Caenorhabditis elegans: one gene and its partners. The protein of the gene in region 3 interacts with the protein of the main gene of each other region in a pairwise test. Each region holds a gene or a part of one and is shown on either strand. Other genes may lie near its edges. The genes, in order: nhr-8, C46H3.2, nhr-21 and ztf-30.

Region 1 (5,336 bases), on a different chromosome or scaffold from region 3:
ACTACTGAAGCTCCAACAACTACACCAGAAGAAGAAGAGGAAGAAGTTGTGACAGCTGCCGTGGAACAGGAAGAGGAAGATGATGTTATTGAAGCAGAAGAGTTAGTTGAAGATGAAGAAGAAGATGTAACAACCACCACCACCACTGAAGCTCCAGTTACACGTGCTCAACGTGTCAAGAAAAACAAAAAGAGAGCTGTTGTGACAAAGCATCAATGCTTGAACCTTCGTAGCTTCGCACGTCAATTCTTGTTTGATACCGTTGAAGAGTTCGCAAAAGAGCACTGTTACTTTATTGAGAACTATTATCCAGCACTAACATGTGCTCGTTCTCATGCTTATGTTGCCAAGTGCCAAAAGTGGTTGAAAGAGGAGTAATTAATTAATACCTTTATATTAATTTTTATTTTGATTTCGATCCAGATCTACGTGTATTTGTTTGTAATATTTTCTCCATCTTTCTGCCCTTGACTTTTGTGCAATTTTCTCAAAAACTTTCTCATGTTAATAAGTGTGCAATATGTGCAATAATTCATGGTTAATAAATGGTTATTCAAAAGAACATAATTCTCGTATCAGAGGATCCAATTGAGCAATATCTAGTCCATAAAACACACGAAGTAAGGTCCTATTCACACGATGAAGCTCGACGACTTGATTCAGAAGATTACTGTATGCAATGTCAGCACGTGATTTACCATATTCAAATGTAAGAAGTCTGAAAGTAGGACAATATTAAAAATGTTATAATCAAAAAGTTATACAATACGTGCTTTTCTCGTACAGTACTTACTTCAAGAGCATCTGGAAATATTTTGCTTGTGTTGAGTGCACTCGTTTACTATCACGTAAGTTGGAGACATCTGAATTAATAACTTTAAAACGAATCAATTTTGAAAAACTGGCTCACGAGGATGAAATATAACAGCTGCATTGAAAATGAGCATCAAATGTTCATTATTCCTCACATCTTCTCCAAACGTTGAAAGCAAGTTCATGTGTGCTTTGTAATGTTCTTCAAGTTTTGGATTCTTAAGAACTTCCACCTTTACCTCCATTTTTCCTCGTACTCCAAATGAATGATTCCAGCTGTTATCACTCTTGTCATAGGCCATAAGACCCCGCACAATCAACAACTCCCCAAATCCACTTTTCAAGAGATTTTTCCTATCGTCCACGTGAAGCTCTCGGAATAGACTTAATTGGCATGCCATGTTAACAATCCTTCGTAGAGCTTCTTCTATTATTCTAAAAACTCCATCAATGCTTTTCGGATTGTGCCATTGAATTAGTGGAGCATTTAATGGCTCATTTTGTACATGAAGTTCTTCTAAAAGAGTTATCTCGTCTTCATTCAAAACTCCAATGTATTTGTCAATCTCTGAAAAGTTGCAAAATTCAAACTTATGGATGACATGAAACAGTACTTGAATGAATTTGTTCTAGCAAATTTGGAGGTAGAGTTTCAGTTACTGGAACTGTGGACACTGCTTGAATTGGAGTCCATGTTCTTTCAGGCATTGGAGGAAAATTCAAAAAGTTGGCTGGCGCAGCCATTTGGGCCATAACACCAAATTGAAATGGTGATAACATTGGAGGATATTGCGATGGCATTTGTGGAGACAGTTCTAAATTTTAGACGTATATTCTTTACTTCAGTACGTATTAATAAAAGTGTTTTCTTGTCGGCTCGGAAGGCGGACGTAACTCTTCTGCCTACTTTGAATTCGTAGTGATAGCCTTCTAGATGAGTTATGTCTGGCTTGTTGTCAAACATTTTTGACAGTGAGGTTCTAGCGTTCAGCTTCACGAGCTGCTCCTAAAAACATACCAGTTATTGAGCTCGGTATAGACGCCGGAGAAACTGTGTAGTTGGTTGGAGATTGAGTAACAAGTTGAGAAGTATTGTAACCACTGGAATCATGTGAAGATGGAGCACAACTGATAACCGACATTGGAGAAAGAGTTGAAGTAGATGAAGAATAAAACGAATCCGAATGATGAAGATGATGGGAGAATGATATATCTTGTGGACTGTTCTGAATATAAAATAATTGATTTTCTTGTATTTTAAACTCTACTAACCACAGCTGTTGTATCCTTTGGTTCGTATGCGGTGAGTCTTTGAGTAATTGGATAGAATCCACACTGGCATTTGCATGTACATCTGTCTTTTGATTTTCTGAAAGTTCAATGTACGATTGTCTGTTACTAGAGTGACGTAGTTTTGTGGTCTTGTGTGATCTACTGATTAGATAATTGTACTTTCTCATACGGTACATATCACAGGTTATCGAGAGACCACTTTAATTAAATAGATTCAATTGAATAAATGTGAGAACGTGCTAAGGCTGCCATGGTAGGCACTTCTTCATGCCTACATACGTGCGCGGCTACTGTTTTTGCATTCTGGGGTAAAGGCGTTTTTTTGTTATTTTCCCGTTATATTATAGTAAATTTGTTGAAACAGTAGTTTATTATTTCCGGATAATTTCATTGAAACTTACTCATTAGCTTTATTGATAAGCTTTTCAAGTAATGCTTTGGGGACACTAATTTGTTCTTCATCATCATTTTCCAAATCTTCTTCAGTATCATCTACTTCCACTTTCAAGTTATTCTTCATATCAGGCTTCTTTCTTTTGAATTTTCCAGAAACAATTGAACTCTTCGGTTTCAAATCATTTAACCATTCACTGTTCATTCCAACAGCAAAACATTTATTCAATCGACAAGCTTGGCAAAACTTGCGAGATGCTGATGTGATTTGACAAGAATCAGAGAAAGGACATTTAATTTCCTTAACACAAAATTTTTAACAACTTGAGTATGCTTTTTTTTTTAAAACCTTATGCTTTGAAGCATTTCGCCTGAAAAACGCCTTACAAGATTCGCAAGTGAGTACACCAAAATTGTATCCATTTGCACGGTCGGAGCAAACCTAAAATTAATTACAATTGTTGGTTTAGAAGTATAAATGAAAAAACGTTTTTCTATTATATTTTTACAAAAATACCACCAGATTTGTAGTAATCCACTATGGAACTCATCTTACGTTTTGGAAAAGACGATATGTATCCAAACGGAATTTTCTTTTTGATTTTTAGGTCAAAAATACGGTACCAGGTCTCGGCACGACAATCTTTGTTCAGTACAAAAAGCTGTGTGCATTTGAAGATTACTGTAATTTCAAGCTGTGGAATTTTCATTGATAATTCATAGCTATTAATACTTTTTTAAAAACATTTATGTGTTTTATTTTAGTTTTTCACGTTAAATATGCATGTTCTTCTAAAGTTTGAAATTACAGTACTCCTTAAAGACTTGTCTTGGCGAGACCGGATACCGTATTTTTTAAGCAAAAATCGAAAAATCTCACGCCGTTTCCAAAATAAAATTACAACTTTCTGATGGTTTTTTCAACTTTTAAACCAGCGTCAAGAGGCTCTTCAATAAAGTGATTATATTCTAAATAATATCAAAACTAACTGTGCAAATTCTGCCAGCAGGCTCTTTTGGTGGAACAGCAGACCTTCGAGACTCGTCCATCGATGGAGAAGACGAAGGCATGGAATGACGAAATTTTTGTTTTAGTGATTAAAATGTTGTTAGGTTTTGCAGATAAGTCACACCACAAGTGGAATAAGATACGAATAATAATCAGTGATTATATGAGCGACGCATAGTTAACTGTGATTCACGTATAGTTAAAAAGGACGATTGAAAGGGCGCAATAGTTTGTATGAAAGACTATGGGGTTTGCTTATCAGTGTGCGAAGTGAGCACAAATATTTATTGATTTTTGTCAAACCAATGCGCTGATTGATAATTTTATGAAGTCTTATCGTTGACTCTCGTATATTTTTCAGGGACCAAAATCCAGAATCCAAATGCCAAAATTCAGATTTATTTTGTTTTTTGGAACACAACAGAAACAATTAAAGAAGTAAAATAAAACTACGGTATTTCGGTTCTATAACAAAGATGAAAGTTTTAGATATAGTTGTATGCTACATCTTCTTCGGATTCCACAAATGCCATTTCTAGCTTCACTGGTTGTTTCAGAAGAATGGAAAGAAATTCTTCTGCAAACCCGAACATCCAGTAGATTCTTCGAATATCGAGTCGACGCGAATATTGAAGGAATCCGGCAACGATCAGTACGTTTCCTCGTCGTTTGATTACAATCTGGAAAAATGTGAAGTTTTGCAAACTTGGATAAGAGAAATAGATACTATACTGAATTTTAAAATTTTTTTGATAAGTTATTACCTCATTTCCACTAACGACTAAATTTTGTGGGAAAAATCCTCGAATGAACCGACGAACAACTTCATCTTGTGCAACAACCAGTGGTTGAGATTGACGGAATTCTAAAAACAAATTTTAAAAATTGTTAAATCGTAATTCAGTTTTGGAACAAACCTTCGAGATTCTGTGAATGCCATGTGAGCCACGATTTTCGCACGCCAATATGATGTGGTTTTTGAGCCATTTCGTATGTAAGAAGTTGTGTTCTATTTGATGTAGACGGAAATTGCAAAATATAAATGGGAAAATAATTGAAAGATCAACAAACCTTGGTTTTACCCGCTCTGTTCTTGAGAAGCATCGATGTTGTCGAAATTTGACGACTGCTGAGGGCTTCGACATGTTGTATACTTCGAAGCATGTCTGAAATTTATAAAAATAATATTTTAAGCAGAAAAATATATTTATAAAAGCGATTCAGTATAAAAGCGAGGCAAATGCAATATTTTTAAAGAAAAAAAATTAGCTAAAAAAAGAATATTGCAAGTGCGCTCCCCAGGACTGATACACTGTCACGTCAGAATGCACAGATTTCTCAGAGACAAATTTATTAATTTATTCTATTTAATTCTTAAATTCCCTTTGCAATCCAGTTTTATTCAATTTTAAATAATTTTATGTTGTTCTAGAACATGTTCTTTTTTGATTATTAGTGTTATTTGTAATTTCAGATTTTCAAATGTCCGATAAATCGTCAAAAGCAGAAAAGAAGAACGATGAGTGTTACAAGTGAGTCGAAGTAAAAATCATGAATTCAATAATCATGTATATATTTCTTCAGCACGGCAGCGATAACCAACAACGTCGAAGCTCTCGAGTTTGGAAGAACGTGTCAGTCGTGCGCCGCCGGTATGGCAGCAGGTAATTTTCAAAAAAAATCATTTAAAAAATCCTTCTTTTACAGGAATTCTCGGACTTACCGGTTTTCAAGGCTTCATTCTCTATTTCATTTCTGTTGGAATCCAGGCCGTTATATGGAACGTGAAATCACAAGGAAACTGGTTGAGCTACTTTCCGGAAAGAAA
Region 2 (4,586 bases), on a different chromosome or scaffold from region 3:
TGAGAATCGGGCAAATTGTGAGGAACGAGTTGACCGAACTTTTCTACCCTTCCGGTTTCGTGGAGATGGTTGATGATGGTTTTTTGGGGATGCTTGAGAGTCGCAGAAAGTTCGCGGTTCGTTGCTCTTGGATCATCTTCCAGGGCTCTCGAAATATCCTCGTCGATATTCAAACGAGAGCGATCTTATCTTGGTTTATCATCGAGATCGTAGTTCTTTTTCGTGAACTTTTCGAACCAAAACTTCATGGTATTATAGGTGACAGAGTTCTTGCCTAACACTGCACACATGTTACGACGAGCTTCGTTGCAATTGCAGATTTGGGGGAACTCGTACAGAAAAACCCATCGGAGGGCGTGACGTTCGGCGAGCAAATTCTCGGTCATTTTGAACAGCACCCAAAAGTTTTTTTTTAATATATTAAACATGCACATTACGTACTATGCAAAAAAAACCGAATCAGAAAAAAATGAATTAACGCTGAGAAATGAAGAAAAGTACAAATTTTGCAAAGACTTTTCGACCAACCTAATAGTTCCTTTTGAAAATTTCAGAAATTAGAAACTAGCTAAAGATGTATCAGAGTGGTCTGCGGAGTTAAAAAAAATAAAATAGACCGAAATTGGTGAATATTTTTAAAAATAGATACATTAACCTTTTCTGAATTTTTATTGATTTTTTAAATTTCGCAAATGAAAAATTAGAAAGCCTGAATAATTTCTAGAGCTCCATATGTAATTTATGGATTTTTTGTAAATTTTTAATTTTCTGTTTTATGTTTAGATACATCGGTTTTTGAAATTTTCTAATCAAAAGTGAAATATCGTTTTTAAACGTAACTTTATTTTTGGAAATGTAAAATTTTGCATTCATTTGAAAACGAATTTAAAAATAATTAAGCCACTTATTCCTTTTTTTTCAAAATGGAAAAGTTAATACTCTTGTAATAATTTGATTTTTTTTAACTAAAAGCTAGTAGCCATTACATCTTTAAATTTGATTTTTCAAAGATTTTGACCATGGCTTTTCTATTATTCTGAACTATGTAAGTTTTCGTTCAATGGTTTTTACACAAATTCTGGCATACAAAATAACAGATAGCCATTTTTATTCAACTTGGAAAATTAACAATAAAAAATTAGGCACTTACATTCAGCAAAAACCGAACAACTTGAACTTGTCCAGAGCCAGCTGCCATGTGAAGAGCCGACCCGCTTTCTGTCACAAAATTCAAATCCCAATTGTGTTGAAGTAACATTGATAAAATCTGGAAATTTAATTTTAGCCTAGATTTCTAGTAAGCTGAAAATTTTGCCAAACCTGAACTTGACCACTTCCAGCCGCCAGGTGGAATGCCGAAGCTGTGTGGAGATGGTCCATATATTGGAAATTGATCTTTCTTAGGCCACAGCTGAATAATCGCTCCAGCATCTGAAATTTCCTGTTTAGCAATGCAAGAGGTAGGTAGTAGGGCATCCATACAGGCGGCAAAAGAACTGCCGTGTCTATCTCGTGCCGCAAACCGCGCCTCTTGTATGGTACGACGCAAAACCGAAAGGTGTCGGCCGCGTTGAAAGATCAACTTTTTGCACTATGAGGTATAAACACTAAGCTTTTTGCATCTCGCCATAGTGCAAAAATAAGTGCAGATATTTGGCAGGCGTCCGGTCTTGAAACCGCGCCTCCTTCCCTAGTAGGTAGCAAACCTTTTCTTGTCCATATTCACATGCCAAATCGAATGGTGTTCTTCCACTTCTGTCAACTAAACAAATGTCTGCATGGTAGTAGATGAGTAGGTTAAACTGAAAATTTTTAATTCACTTTAATGAAATTACTTTGTTTTAAATTGAAACATTTTTATACACCCTTAATTCTGTCATTATTAAAAAAAGCTTTAAAAAAACTTCCATTTTTTATAAACTTTACGTAACTTCTCAATTTTCAATTAATAAAGAATCCCTGATTTAACACAGTTTTCTGTTTTTTTTTTCAATTCGAAAAATCTAGAACTTTAGTGACTTTTTTTTTGAAAGGGTCTCAAAACAAAATAAAACTGACGCAGTTAATATATTTTCAGTCAGTGATAGAATAGTGTTTGAGATTTTTGGGAGCATAATTTATTAACATGCTGAATCCGAAAAAAGCAATAATTCATTACAAAAGTTTTTTATTTACCCATTTTTTTAAAAGATGGGGTCCCATAGAACTGACACATAACTTTTCCAATCCAAAAAACCTACATGATCAATCATACCGTCTTTACATGCAATATGACATGCCGAAATTCCATCATAATCTACGGAATCCACGTTTGCACCGCCTTTCAGTAAAAGTGACGTCATTTCGGTATCACCGTAGGTGATGGATAAGTGGAGAGCAGTTTGGCCTAAAAATTGAAAGTTTAATACAGTTTGGTGCACGTTTTAGTATTTTTTGAAGTCGAATTTTGAAATTGCCGCTCAGAAAATGCTTGATAATTCAAAACGGGTTTTTTTTTTAATTTTGCAAAAACTATTATTTTTTAAGAAATTTCAAATTACCTCTACAATCCGGCTCATCTATCCACACTGATTTCGAATCTATAAAATTCTTTGCCATAACTGTATTTCCCATTTTGACTGCATTATGTAAAGGTGTAAATTCTTCATTATCACAAAGGTCTCTTTTGGGTATGCTAAGAAGATCTGAAATAAACGAAAAAAAGTGTTTTACTCCCAGAAATTATTTTTTCTCAGTTAAAAAATTTTTAAGAACATATATTTTACAATTATAAAAATGAAAAACTGAGCTTCTTTTCAAAAACCAAACAATCTCAATTTTCTGCTCCTATTTTAACAGGAGCACTGACCATGTCACTGACCAAGTATTTTTTATACTGACCATGCCTAGAGTTGCTAAAATCCTTAAATTTTTATAAGAAATTACGCCAAACTTGTTTTTTCCACTTTTGATGTTAATTCTGCCACATGATCTCACCCACCTGATATACTTGATGAAAACCTCCTAAGAAGTTTTTTGCTGGACATACCAAAAGATCTCTGCAAGTTTAACTAAATATTTAAAAAAAACCGAATTCTAAAAAAGGATAAAACATCAAAAACTGCAGAAAGAAGCATTTTCAATCACAAAAATACACATTTTTAGTGCACATCCCTTCTCCACTTGAGTACTTCCGCCAGAGAACGAAAGACAGCAAAAGGTACGGGTGGATATTCGGGGGGTAGAGAGAGGGCGACGACTTTTGTGATAACAAACGAATGGAAATCTACGCAAATAATACAATCCACTTTTGCTATTTTTTTGTGGCGGTTGTGGCTCAAGAAGATCAAGGAAAACAAATTTTAAAAAAAGAATCGTAATAATTAGTAATGGGCTTTAAAAATTTCCTTAAAATATATACCGAATTTAAAAAAATCTTAAACTATTCAAATTTTATCGTTTTGGAATTGACTATAATTATGAAACGCTTGAGCCTTCTAAACTACAGCTACTATAAAAATACTTAAAATTTTGGAAAGCTTGGTTAAAAATGACCAGAGTTGAAATTTAAATAAGCTATTTTTAATTATTCTCAAAATCATTTTTTTAAAGTATATAAATCAAAAGCTCTGGTTTTGTTGAAATTTCCGACGAACAAACTTTTAAGAAAAAAAAAATCGTTTTTATATATTTTTTATTTCAACGTAATTTTCCAAACTTCCATTTTTAATTCTCTTATTTTATTTACTGGCAAATAATTTTAGAAACATAATTTACCTTCAGAAATTTCCATTATATTTTCAGAAAAATTCGAAAAAATTAATTTTCTATAATTTTTGTATTTCCATTACAAAGTCAAAAAACTGAATATGAAAAAAGGAAAAAATTACAAATTTAGTGGACGCGTCATGCAAGTGACAGAATAATGATATTAAAAAAGATTAAGCTTGTTTTTTGAAATAAATTTTCTTTTCGTTTGCCAAAAATGAGTTTGTCCGTTTTTAAATTATTTTTGGTTATTTTCTTTTTAAAAAACTTTAAGCAGACTAGAAATGTTCACAAACAAAGTTTGTTATTAGTTTCTTGCACTGACCAACCTTAGAGTGCACTGACCACTTTATTTTCTGCACTGACCAAAATAATAAATTAAAAGGTTTTTGTGAATATTTTCTGGAACATATCTAAAAATTAATTTTTATAACGAAGCAAGTTTGTTTTGATACGGTACCCGGTCTCGGCCAACAATTTTTTATGCAAACTGAATAAAATAGAAAGTTAGAGGAAAAAAAAAAAGAAATTATGAAAAATTAGTGAAGCAAACATTTGTCGTCTCAAGACCATCCAAGATATTTGTGTTTAAAAAAATCGCAAAATTAAATCATTTTTGTGACGATTTTCCCTGTATCTGTACTCCTTCGAGAGATACATATAAAACTTAAAAAGAATAAAAATGTTAATTCTCATAAACGCCCTTTTCCTCTTCATCATCATCTCATTGTTATCATTATTATGTTCCGTTTTCCAGATAAGAGACCTTGAGATGAGATTTGAACAAGGGAATTCGGACGCCCAAAATCTGTGTCTCTCCATCAATAAATGTGTATGTA
Region 3 (4,788 bases):
AATTCAACATGTGACATCATAAACAAGCAAAGATCTCTTCCATTTTTTACAAACGAATTGTTCTCAATATTTTTGTCATAAAAATGCGTATTTTGACTGCATACAGTTGATCTCTTCGACCTCTCTATCACAAAAATATAAAAAATCTGTGCGATCTTTAATCATCTCCATTTCTGATCTGTCGCGACGCCTTCTCCCACTACCATCTGTTTTGTTAATCACGATCTGACACGTGGTTACTTTAAGTGCATAGTTTGGAAAAAACAAATGTTTCAAGAAAATAGGAACCAATTTGTTGTAAATTCTCATCAGAATAGAATAAAATATAAAGCCATTAACCCTGACTTCTAGATTTCTTCCTCCGAAAATGTTCAAAAAATCACGTAGCAGGGACACATCGTATATTATCGTGTAGAGCGCCAATCCCCGAAAACCACAACATTCTGATCAAAATTAAAGATCAAAGCCTTTTTCTTCTTATTTATAGCAATGAGTTTTGGTTTCAACACGTTCAAATCCCCCTTTGAGCATTGAACAAATCAAAACGGAACTACATGATTTACGTCATTAAGCACGACTATTATTAAATTTTATAATAATAACATACATCAATCCAAGAACAAAAATTTCACGGCATGTAAAAAATGTCTTGCAAAAAGGCAAAGAAAGAAAGAGCAGTGAGAGTTTAGAGAAAAAGAGTCACAAAAATTTTGTGACCATTGAAGTTAACAAAAGATTTCAAACCAGAAGGTGTTCAAACGAATAATAATGATTGGAAAATTGTGTTTTTTTTTTGAAAAAAAAACTATTCACAGACGAGGAAAATTAAATAATAATGAGATTATTCAGAGAAAGAACTAAAGGACATGCTGGAAGATGATATCAAAAGTTCGTTTTCCACCAGTGCAAATGAAAAAGTATAAAATGACTTTCAAAAGTTTTAAAACTGCAGTGGTCCGTATCAAGTTTCATTTGACACTTACTAGTGAAGCTTAAGCTTTATTTCAAAATTTTTGAAGTTTGTGCTGTGGACTTTTTTTAAAACATGGAATTGAAATTTAGAAAATTTTGTGAATTTATAAATTATAACAATTACCTCTTTGACGGTGCATTCTGAGAGTAGTAGTTGTGCTCTTCAAAAATATAGCGATCTCTGATATAGTATGATCTATGGATTAGCCGAGAAGCAATCAGCACGAATAGAGAAATGTACAAAAAATGATTCGGCTGCTAATAGTGCAAGAACTGTTCACACTTTTAAAGAGGAGTCTCGCTCATTTTTTCCTACTGTCCATTCATATTGTGATCTGTTCCGAGCAGCATAAACTACAGTCAACTCTTCCATTTCTCATTGCGACGAACTTTGTTCCGATTGTTTGTTCCCATTAATTTTGCGCTCGCGCGGAGGAGTCTAGGAAAAAGAGAAATAAACAGAGGAAGAATAGGGGGAACAACGAACAATTTTTACTTTTTTGTTTTTAATTTAATCCTATCACTTGATAGGGAACCCTTCATTGCTGGTAAAAATAATTATAGTCGAGGAATACTTGCAAATCCTGCAATTTAATTATAGCTATCAAAATTTTTACTAATGTGAAACCTTTTGATCTTTTGATATCTCGCAAGTGATTATAGAAATATAAGGTTGAAATCAGTGCTTATAATCCGATTAAGATGATATTAATCATTTAAAATTTAGAAATATGTTTTGCTTACAAAAATCAAAATTGTCATAACAGGAAAAAAAAAATACATGAATCAAAAACTGTAAATTTATTTAAAGGCGAAACTGCATAAATATGGATTTCAAAAGATATTGTTTTAAAATATTCAAAATATAGTTTTTTCTTACATTTTGGCAGTTTGAATTTGGCAGATTATTATAACGTAGAAAGACAAGATATCAGAAAAAAATTCTTCGAAATTCTAGTTAATTTCTTTATTCTTTCATGTTTTCCATCTTCGTCATAAACTCCTCTAGGCTTTTGATTAGAATTTTTATTTCCTCCCTGGTCTCATATGTGTTTTTCTTCTAGTTCGTTGAGGCAGACAGGAATGCGTGTTATTTCAATGATCTTGTCATATAAGACCAGAAAAACAAGAGTACAGAAAACAGAAATAAGGATAGTAATTCGATGCAGAATATGTTAATTAGCAAAACTAAATTACCAATGAACAAAATGAACGCAAAACTATTATCACAAAAAAGAGAAAAAGGATGAAATAAAAGAATGATATGAAAACAGAGGACATGAAATGAAATGAAGTAATTCATGACATCATGAAAATTAGATAGGTTTGAAAGTCGAGATGACCCGTGGAGTTTCTATGGGCATAACTGCCCAAGTGGCAGACCCATTTCCACACAATTGTACTTTAAAGAATAGAAAAGAGAGGACGTGAGAGTATGGAGCAATGGGAGGTGAGCAACGAAACAACCGGCTGTGCGGAACAAAAAGTGAAAATGGGAGGGAAGGTGTGAAGAGCCACTGAATGAAAGATGTGTTCGGTTGGTAGGATCATTGAACAGATTATCAAGGAAAAAAGAAGGAAGTAGTTACTTGTATGCTTATGGCTGGTGCCAATTTTTACCGGCTTATCTGCGATAAAAGAAACAAAAGAAAAATTGTTGGTTTAATTTGAACTTTATTAAAGGCTACATTGGTAAAAACTTAATTAGGAAAAATACGAATAAAATATAAATTTAGTAAGCACCAGGATATGTACGCAACATTAAAGTTTGGTATTCAATCCTTGAGAAGAACAAAACATTTTAAGTTGGAATGTTTATTATTCACAGCCACAACTCATGTTTTCTATCAATTGAATACAATTGAATTTCTATAAGTCAATGTTAGCTAAAGTATGTTTAAAAGATTATAAAGTTATGGATATAGTCTGGTCAAGATGTTATATGATAGAGAAATCAACAAGAAGAGGAAAACATAAGAAGATAGGAAAAGGAAGCAATGAACAATTCGCAGGAGAAAAGGGAATCACTTACTTGATCTAGGGCCCATGATTTGTGACGATTTGATTCTGTGAAGAGGACACCTGTAAGACGAAACAGTTGGATATCACGGGAGGAGTAATTAATGAGAGAAAAGGCAATAAAAACATTATCAACAAACATACAAACTACACGTGTTTGAATTATTGAAGTATGATGGAAGAAAGAGGAAAATGAAAGCGAAAATGAATATTTTGGTTCTCAATTAACGAACACTACAACCTACAAAATTGATACACACGGAAACAACTAGATTGTATGATATCAAATATCCGGTTTGATTTCAAAGTTCAAATGTTTAAAAGGTAACCTTTTGGGTAGATAAACTCAAGCTTTAAATTTGCCATATGAGGTTGGTTCTGAAGACTATAACATCTTTGAGACAGAAACATACTTTACTTTCATTGTGGTTCTAGCCTCTAACAATAAGTACCTACATTTTTACAGTTTCCTTAAAATAATAATTTGGCTGCAAAAAATATTACTTGAGAGAAGAACAAAAATGAGATAACCGATAAATCCGTAGTCAATTCTGAACTACGCATATCAAAAACGTTTTGAAATCGGTATAAAATATCTAATCACCATTTTTTAGTTAAAATTGCGTACTAGAAAAGTCTGAAATATTTAATTTTAACATCAGTATCACTTTTTCTAACTACACACTACACAAATGCCGAAATTATTTGTGGTCATGGGGGAAGCAAAATATGCACAAATTTGAAATGTCGCATTAACTTTTTGAACTAACCGATAAGAAAACTACCTCAACTGATCAACAAAAACAAAGATATAAATACAGGCTTTTCATAATAATAGTTCTACGCAAGTACCAAATACAAAACCTGGTTGCATCTATGTAAAAAACAAAAAAAAATCATAATTTTAGGTGGCAAATCCATGAATGATATAACCTTTTGTTATTAAAAGAAATACAACATACTGAGTAGTTTCAAAAATTATTAAAAAGTCAAATTAAGGGAGAACTCATGAAAAATTAATTTTTAAGCTGTAAAAACGAAAGCCCATTAGGGATGACAATACAGAGACGAGAGCCCAAATTCTAAACCAACTGCAAAAGGCGACTTATTACTTTAACTCGGGTTAAATTTAGTTATGTAAATCTTATTATATTGAAAACTATTATGTTTCGTGACCCATGACCAACAACATTTTTCCATAATTTCTTTCTTCTCGCTAAACTGGGTATATCTCCGAGATTAATCTAAAAGAAAGTGCATATTTTAGGTCAACTCATCAGAAAGTCATCAGAAAGTCAAATCAGAACTACATATGTTCGTAGTGAACTTTTCTGCTTAATCTGAAACTTGACAACCATACCAAATAGGTGTTAAAGTAAAAGTAGGAAGCATGAAGATAAGTACGGCAGTATTCACACGGTACACACACCTGTCCTACAAGGTATACGGGAACCGAATCGTGCAAACACGTACATGGAGATGAAGATGAGAGACAGAGAAACCCGTAATGAATAGTGTACTGGAATGTAAAAGACGCAGACATTAAAGGGACGACTATTGAAACACGCGCTCGAAATGTTCTTTGCTCGCTGGTGGCGGACGGCGGGTGTGGAAAAAACGCGACTGGAGACACAAATTGGAACATTATTTTATCATTTTTCTTACGCACTCTGAATGAAGACCGCCTTTTTTGGGGACAGTCAGATGACTTTTTTGACACGTCATGAAGATTATCAGGGGCCAATTGGCTTAGGACGGAACAACAGCTAATTATTACATCAGTTCAAGGACTCTAAG
Region 4 (5,016 bases), on a different chromosome or scaffold from region 3:
GCTCCAAATTCGTCAAGTTTTTTTTTCCTGAAATGGTCAAATTTTGACAGCAATGACAATGTTCAATGTGAGCACCTATCAGCACATCAACGAAACAACCCACAAAATAATGACAAAATTGCTATGAAAAATAATAATTTGATGAAAACTGACTTTGCGAAATTTGAGAATTTAGCTGAAACAGAGTTTAACATTAAAAAAAACAGAGCTCAGGATATTGGTAGAGGCTCATGACTAAATTTGGTATTTTTGGGTCGCTTTAAGTGAAAATGGACATCGATTTTTTGTTGGAATTAAAGAGCTAAGAAATGAGCTTTCTCAGATTTCAGTTACCATGGATATTTGGCAGAGGATTTATTTAGTTATTTGTTTATTCTGGATAAGAAATCCGTTTACGTCTTTTGTAAATGTATTTTTCAAAAAAAATTTTTTTTGAAAGAGTACCAAAAATTCTGGAACACACATTATTCAACTTTCTATACTGTTTTTTTACTTTCTTGACTTTCTCTGATCAGTTTCAGTTATTTCCTGGAAGAAACGTAGAATACAGCATTTAAATTTATATCAAGTATGTATTATTATTATATTACAATTATGTATATTCAACGTAAGCACTGAGAATTATGGAGATGGAGACACAGAAGGAACACAACGGATCGGATGATTTTGATTTGTTTGTTTAATATTTGTTTTGGAAATAAAAAGCAAAAAATCCCGCAAACAGGAAGAAATAAGTTAAAAAATATAGTTCTGAGATTGGTAAAAAATATTGCGAAAATTATGAGAAATCTCCAAAAATGAAACAATATTAACATGATAGTAAAGCTTGCGAAGTTTGAGGTTTCAGAGAAATTTGGAAAAAAGATAATTCTAAAAAGGACGTGTCAAAATTGTGTTATTTATGAGAATTCGAAGAAATGAATTCATTTCCGAGGCGTCGTGAGCTTTGTCATTTTGAAGAAATTTCACGGCAAGATTCTGAAAAAATAATTTTGAAATACTTCTTTCTGATCTGAAATCTTACCTGACACTCTAACAATTTCCTTTGGAATAGCTCATTGTGCTCACGGAGCGCGTGTGCTTCCATTCTCAATCTGAGCACAGTTTGTTCCAATCCATTCATTTGGGCATTTGCTTCTAAACTTTCTTGTTGCATCGTACCAATTTTGTGTTCCAACAGTTTGCATTTATTTTCAGAAATCAATATCTTTGTCCTGCTGACGTGGCAGTCGAAGCATTCATGACGTGGACTGATCCTTGAAGAAGAAGATGATGAGGATGGTGAAGCTGTATCAATCAATGGAGATGATATAAGAGCACGATCAGAACACAACTGATGGAATGCACTAAGATCAGACTTGAAGCTGACTGATGAGCAAGTTGGTGACTGTGAAGTATACACATCGGGCTTCTCCACTTCATCTTTTATTTTTTCTTTTGAATCTGCTACAAATATTGGTGCCGTAGCTGAAATATTATCATAAGCATTACAAATATTTTGTATGTAACTTACTAGGTATGGGTTTTGGAAGATTTGCAAGCCATGAAGGTGTCTGAGGTTGAGATCGAATAGGCGATTGAAGAGCAGGGATTGGGATGCTTGCAATTGGAAGAGAAGGTACTGATGATTCAAGGGATTGTGGGGTTGGTAGATTTAGAAGTGGAGTACGGATTACTGAAATCAATAATCTTTTTATGTTCATCTCATATCTGATAGTCTTACACTGGAATGGATCTGTAATGAGGTGGCAGCTTCTGTTGATAACTCCATGAGGAATGACACTATTATTATTGTTGTTGCTGTCATTGTTGTTAGTGGCAGTTTGTAGATGAATATGAAGAAGTGATTTATCAGGAAAAGCCCAATTACAGCAACGGCACATGTACATTCGAGAGATATGATGTTGCTTGAACATATGAGTACGAAGAGATTCACTACCTGCAAATTACAATAGTTTTTTATTATTATTCAAAGTCCCCAATTCAAATACAGTACTCCTATAAAGTTTGTCTACTTATCCCAAAGCCATTATTTGACCCCTTACAATTTCGCTCCAATCCTCCACTTTTTTCCCTTCTGCCCCCACTCTCATCCATTGCGCAACCTCATTCAATTGTCCCCGTTCTCGAAAAGTGAGAACTGTGTTTGCGTCTGCGTCTCCACTATTTCGTATTTCTCCGGATGACCTCAATCGTCCGGAGAATGAAGAAACAGTGAAAATTGAATGAGATCAAGAGGAATCTTTCTCCGGAGAGTGGATGGATAGTAAACAATAATTGTTCATACAGATGCTTATACCCGAACAACAATAAAAACGAGTTTCTTGCGGTGTTTCATGTGATAAACAATTCAGGTGTAAACAATATGCTTGTTCAAATATTATAGGTGGATGCTTTAAAATATAGCAGTGGTTTTGCACTGCACAATTTTGCTCTGCAAAATGTTCTACAGTATCCCTGCTAAACCCGGGAAATGAGGAGATCAAATCAAAAGATGTACTGGAGCTTAATACATTTTTGTAGCAAAAGCTCTCTGAGTCCCTGATCGAACAAGTTTTCATTCTATTTCATATTTTTGTCTCCAGCAGCTTTTCAGCTCAAATGTGCAGCTCATTCTTGTATCAAATGTCATGATTATCTTTCTTTCAATTTCGAAAAATCTGTGATTGAGGATTTTTCTTAATGCTCGGAAGATCACCTCATTGTCAATAAAAAATAAATAACTTCCGACTTACTTGAGATATCTTTTCGGCATACTGTGCATTTGTAGCTTTTGAAGTGAGCCTGCATACGGTGGCGGGAGAGACTTGAAGAATGACAGAAAACTTTTGAACAGATTGAGCAACGGAACGAACCTGAAATTCAGAATCATTATAAAAGTAAGAACCTAATCAGATTTGGTGGACTAATAACAATTCCCAGAACTTACAAACCTTTTAAATCGGGTCGTTTTAACTCAACACCACTTCCACCTTTGGATCCACTGATATCAGTTCCATTCTCAACCTCCACGTCACTACCGTAACCTTCCTCCTCTGTATTTGTGGGTGAATGAATTTTATCGTCTTCCAGCTTCATATCCATTTCAAGATGCATGATTTTGAGCTGAATCATGAAACATGAAGACACATGAAACAATACAAAGGCAGATAAAATGAGGAAGTAAAAAATCTGAAAATCGAATGAAAGAAAAGATGTGTGAGCTCATAGCATTTTGAGCACATAGGCACTTTTCAATGTGTGCAGGCAAAAGGCCATTATGATGACGGAGGAGGAAGAAGAAAGATGCAAAAAGTAATAAAAAAAGCTTAACTACAGGCATCCAGATCAATGACGCTGACGGTAAGAATGATCCATTCTCTTTTTAGTGTATGTCATGTAATCCCAAATCCAGATCATTTTACAAGAATGACTTGAATTTCTAAAATAGAATGTGCTGCAAGGATACGGTAGATTAACTCAGATAACGAATGAATCATTGCATTCAATGTTTTGGAGCAGCAGGAGCACGGGAATTTTATGAGAACGTGTGTGTGAGAAGCTTCAAATTTTAAAAGTAAATCGGAGGAGCTTGAAATCAGCAATCGTAGTATTATCTTTCAACATTATTGCCTGGTTTCGCGTACCTAATATATTTACAGAATTTTTGGGGCAACAGTTTCCAAGAATAACTTGTTTGGAGGCTTTTCCAAACTGTGACTCTTTGCTCCATTATTTAGAAGACGTTTTTTAATTTTGAACTCTTTCGTAGAAAAAAGAAGAACTTAGTGTGAACGTTGAGTAGCCAATAAATGGCAATTTGTCAGTATTCACTTATTTTAGGAGACTCTAAAAAGACAATCTCTGGAGTTTTTAGAAAACTCTAAAAAATGCTGGTCATGTTGGACTATTATTAGTGTATTCAAGTTTTGACATAGTCTCTTGTTTTGAAATTTATGAAATGGTTAAAACAGCTAGATTTAAAAATTTCATCAGCCATTGTTTGATCATCTGGGCAAATCTTAAAGCATAATCTTCTAATCTTTTTTGAGAGACCTGTTTTTAAAATCCAAAGAAAATCCTTCGAAGAAAGTTTATGGTTTGTACTTCAAAATCGTCGGACAAGTTGTTTCTAAGAAAGTGAAGCAAAAAAGGTTTAATGATGGATTTTGCATAAGAAAACTAAGTAGGTTTAAAGTTTAATCGCGGGGGAGTGTTTGCAAAAAAGGCACATCTTTAGGGACTTTTTTCTAGATTTAACAAATGAAAAAGCCGTGCAAATTTCAGTTTACTTGGTTCCCATATCCCAAAAAGAGACCATAAACATTAGATTAAAACTAGGCACTTGTAATAAGCCTAATGACGTGGCACCGAAATGTTGCAACCCGTGACTATGAACTATACAAGGTCAAACTGTCAATACACCTATCCTTTCCGCTAATTATCCATCGTCACCAAGACGGCTAAGACGGAAAAAAGATGAAGACGGACGGCAATGGATTGAAGGGAATAAGACGAAAGTGTCAATACGCAAAGACTAGGTCAAACCGGAGAAGATGAGAAAGTATAGAAGAATAAGAGATACAGACTAGAGGAATGACGTAAGGTTTCCAGGAGAAGCTAGGTGAGATGAAGTGGAAGTAAAGAATTTGGAAAAAAAATGTGCTAGAATTGGGGAGAAAATCTCAATAAATTGTAAGCATGTGAAGGCAGTGGGGAATGGGTTCTGAATTATTTCGAACACATAAGCTCCGGCAGTTGGGTTGCTACTTGTTAAAATACATCCTTAAAATTAGCAGAAGGAAACATTTCCATTTCAGAGTGATAGAAGTTCACAAACTACTAATTTGGAACTTTCCTTTTTCTGGAAAAAAGTTGACACCTCTGAAATGACACCATATTCACTAGTGTTCCTGAAAAGTTTTCCGTATTAGTTTTCATTAACAGCAAAAAAAAGTTGGCCCGAATGAAAAAAAATAGGCGGATACTCGGATGGTATATCCTGCCCATCGACAAGATGATCCTTGCTTCAATTGG

Evidence for each region.
Region 1: the proteins of nhr-21 (region 3) and nhr-8 interact in a two-hybrid assay, tested with the Caenorhabditis elegans proteins (one large-scale study listed by BioGRID).
Region 2: the proteins of nhr-21 (region 3) and C46H3.2 interact in a two-hybrid assay, tested with the Caenorhabditis elegans proteins (one large-scale study listed by BioGRID).
Region 4: the proteins of nhr-21 (region 3) and ztf-30 interact in a two-hybrid assay, tested with the Caenorhabditis elegans proteins (one large-scale study listed by BioGRID).

Annotation. Positions count from the first base shown.
Region 1 is NC_003282.8:7,709,383-7,714,718, reverse strand, and holds nhr-8 (Nuclear hormone receptor family member nhr-8), read right to left. Parts: upstream 3,576-5,336; 5' UTR 3,571-3,575; coding exon 3,490-3,570; intron 2,942-3,489; coding exon 2,849-2,941; intron 2,801-2,848; coding exon 2,508-2,800; intron 2,183-2,507; coding exon 2,086-2,182; intron 2,040-2,085; coding exon 1,832-2,039; intron 1,629-1,831; coding exon 1,428-1,628; intron 1,382-1,427; coding exon 911-1,381; intron 864-910; coding exon 794-863; intron 719-793; coding exon 550-718; 3' UTR 521-549; downstream 1-520. Other genes in the region: F33D4.6 (aECM cysteine-cradle domain-containing protein), read left to right, coding at 1-378; mrps-24 (Small ribosomal subunit protein uS3m), read right to left, coding at 3,994-4,188, 4,273-4,373, 4,426-4,531, 4,580-4,672; emc-6 (ER membrane protein complex subunit 6), read left to right, coding at 4,991-5,040, 5,093-5,172, 5,216-5,336. UniProt on the Caenorhabditis elegans protein: Orphan nuclear receptor.
Region 2 is NC_003284.9:1,227,721-1,232,306, forward strand, and holds the start of C46H3.2 (Caskin-2), read right to left. Parts: upstream 3,039-4,586; 5' UTR 3,027-3,038; coding exon 2,981-3,026; intron 2,685-2,980; coding exon 2,541-2,684; intron 2,387-2,540; coding exon 2,241-2,386; intron 1,803-2,240; coding exon 1,707-1,802; intron 1,432-1,706; coding exon 1,321-1,431; intron 1,268-1,320; coding exon 1,151-1,267; intron 1-1,150.
Region 3 is NC_003280.10:7,337,495-7,342,282, reverse strand, and holds the start of nhr-21 (NR LBD domain-containing protein), read right to left. Parts: upstream 3,055-4,788; 5' UTR 3,021-3,054; coding exon 3,005-3,020; intron 1-3,004.
Region 4 is NC_003281.10:8,594,766-8,599,781, forward strand, and holds ztf-30 (Zinc finger transcription factor family protein 30), read right to left. Parts: upstream 3,106-5,016; 5' UTR 3,079-3,105; coding exon 2,934-3,078; intron 2,856-2,933; coding exon 2,736-2,855; intron 1,940-2,735; coding exon 1,724-1,939; intron 1,676-1,723; coding exon 1,514-1,675; intron 1,468-1,513; coding exon 1,025-1,467; intron 979-1,024; coding exon 871-978; 3' UTR 545-870; downstream 1-544.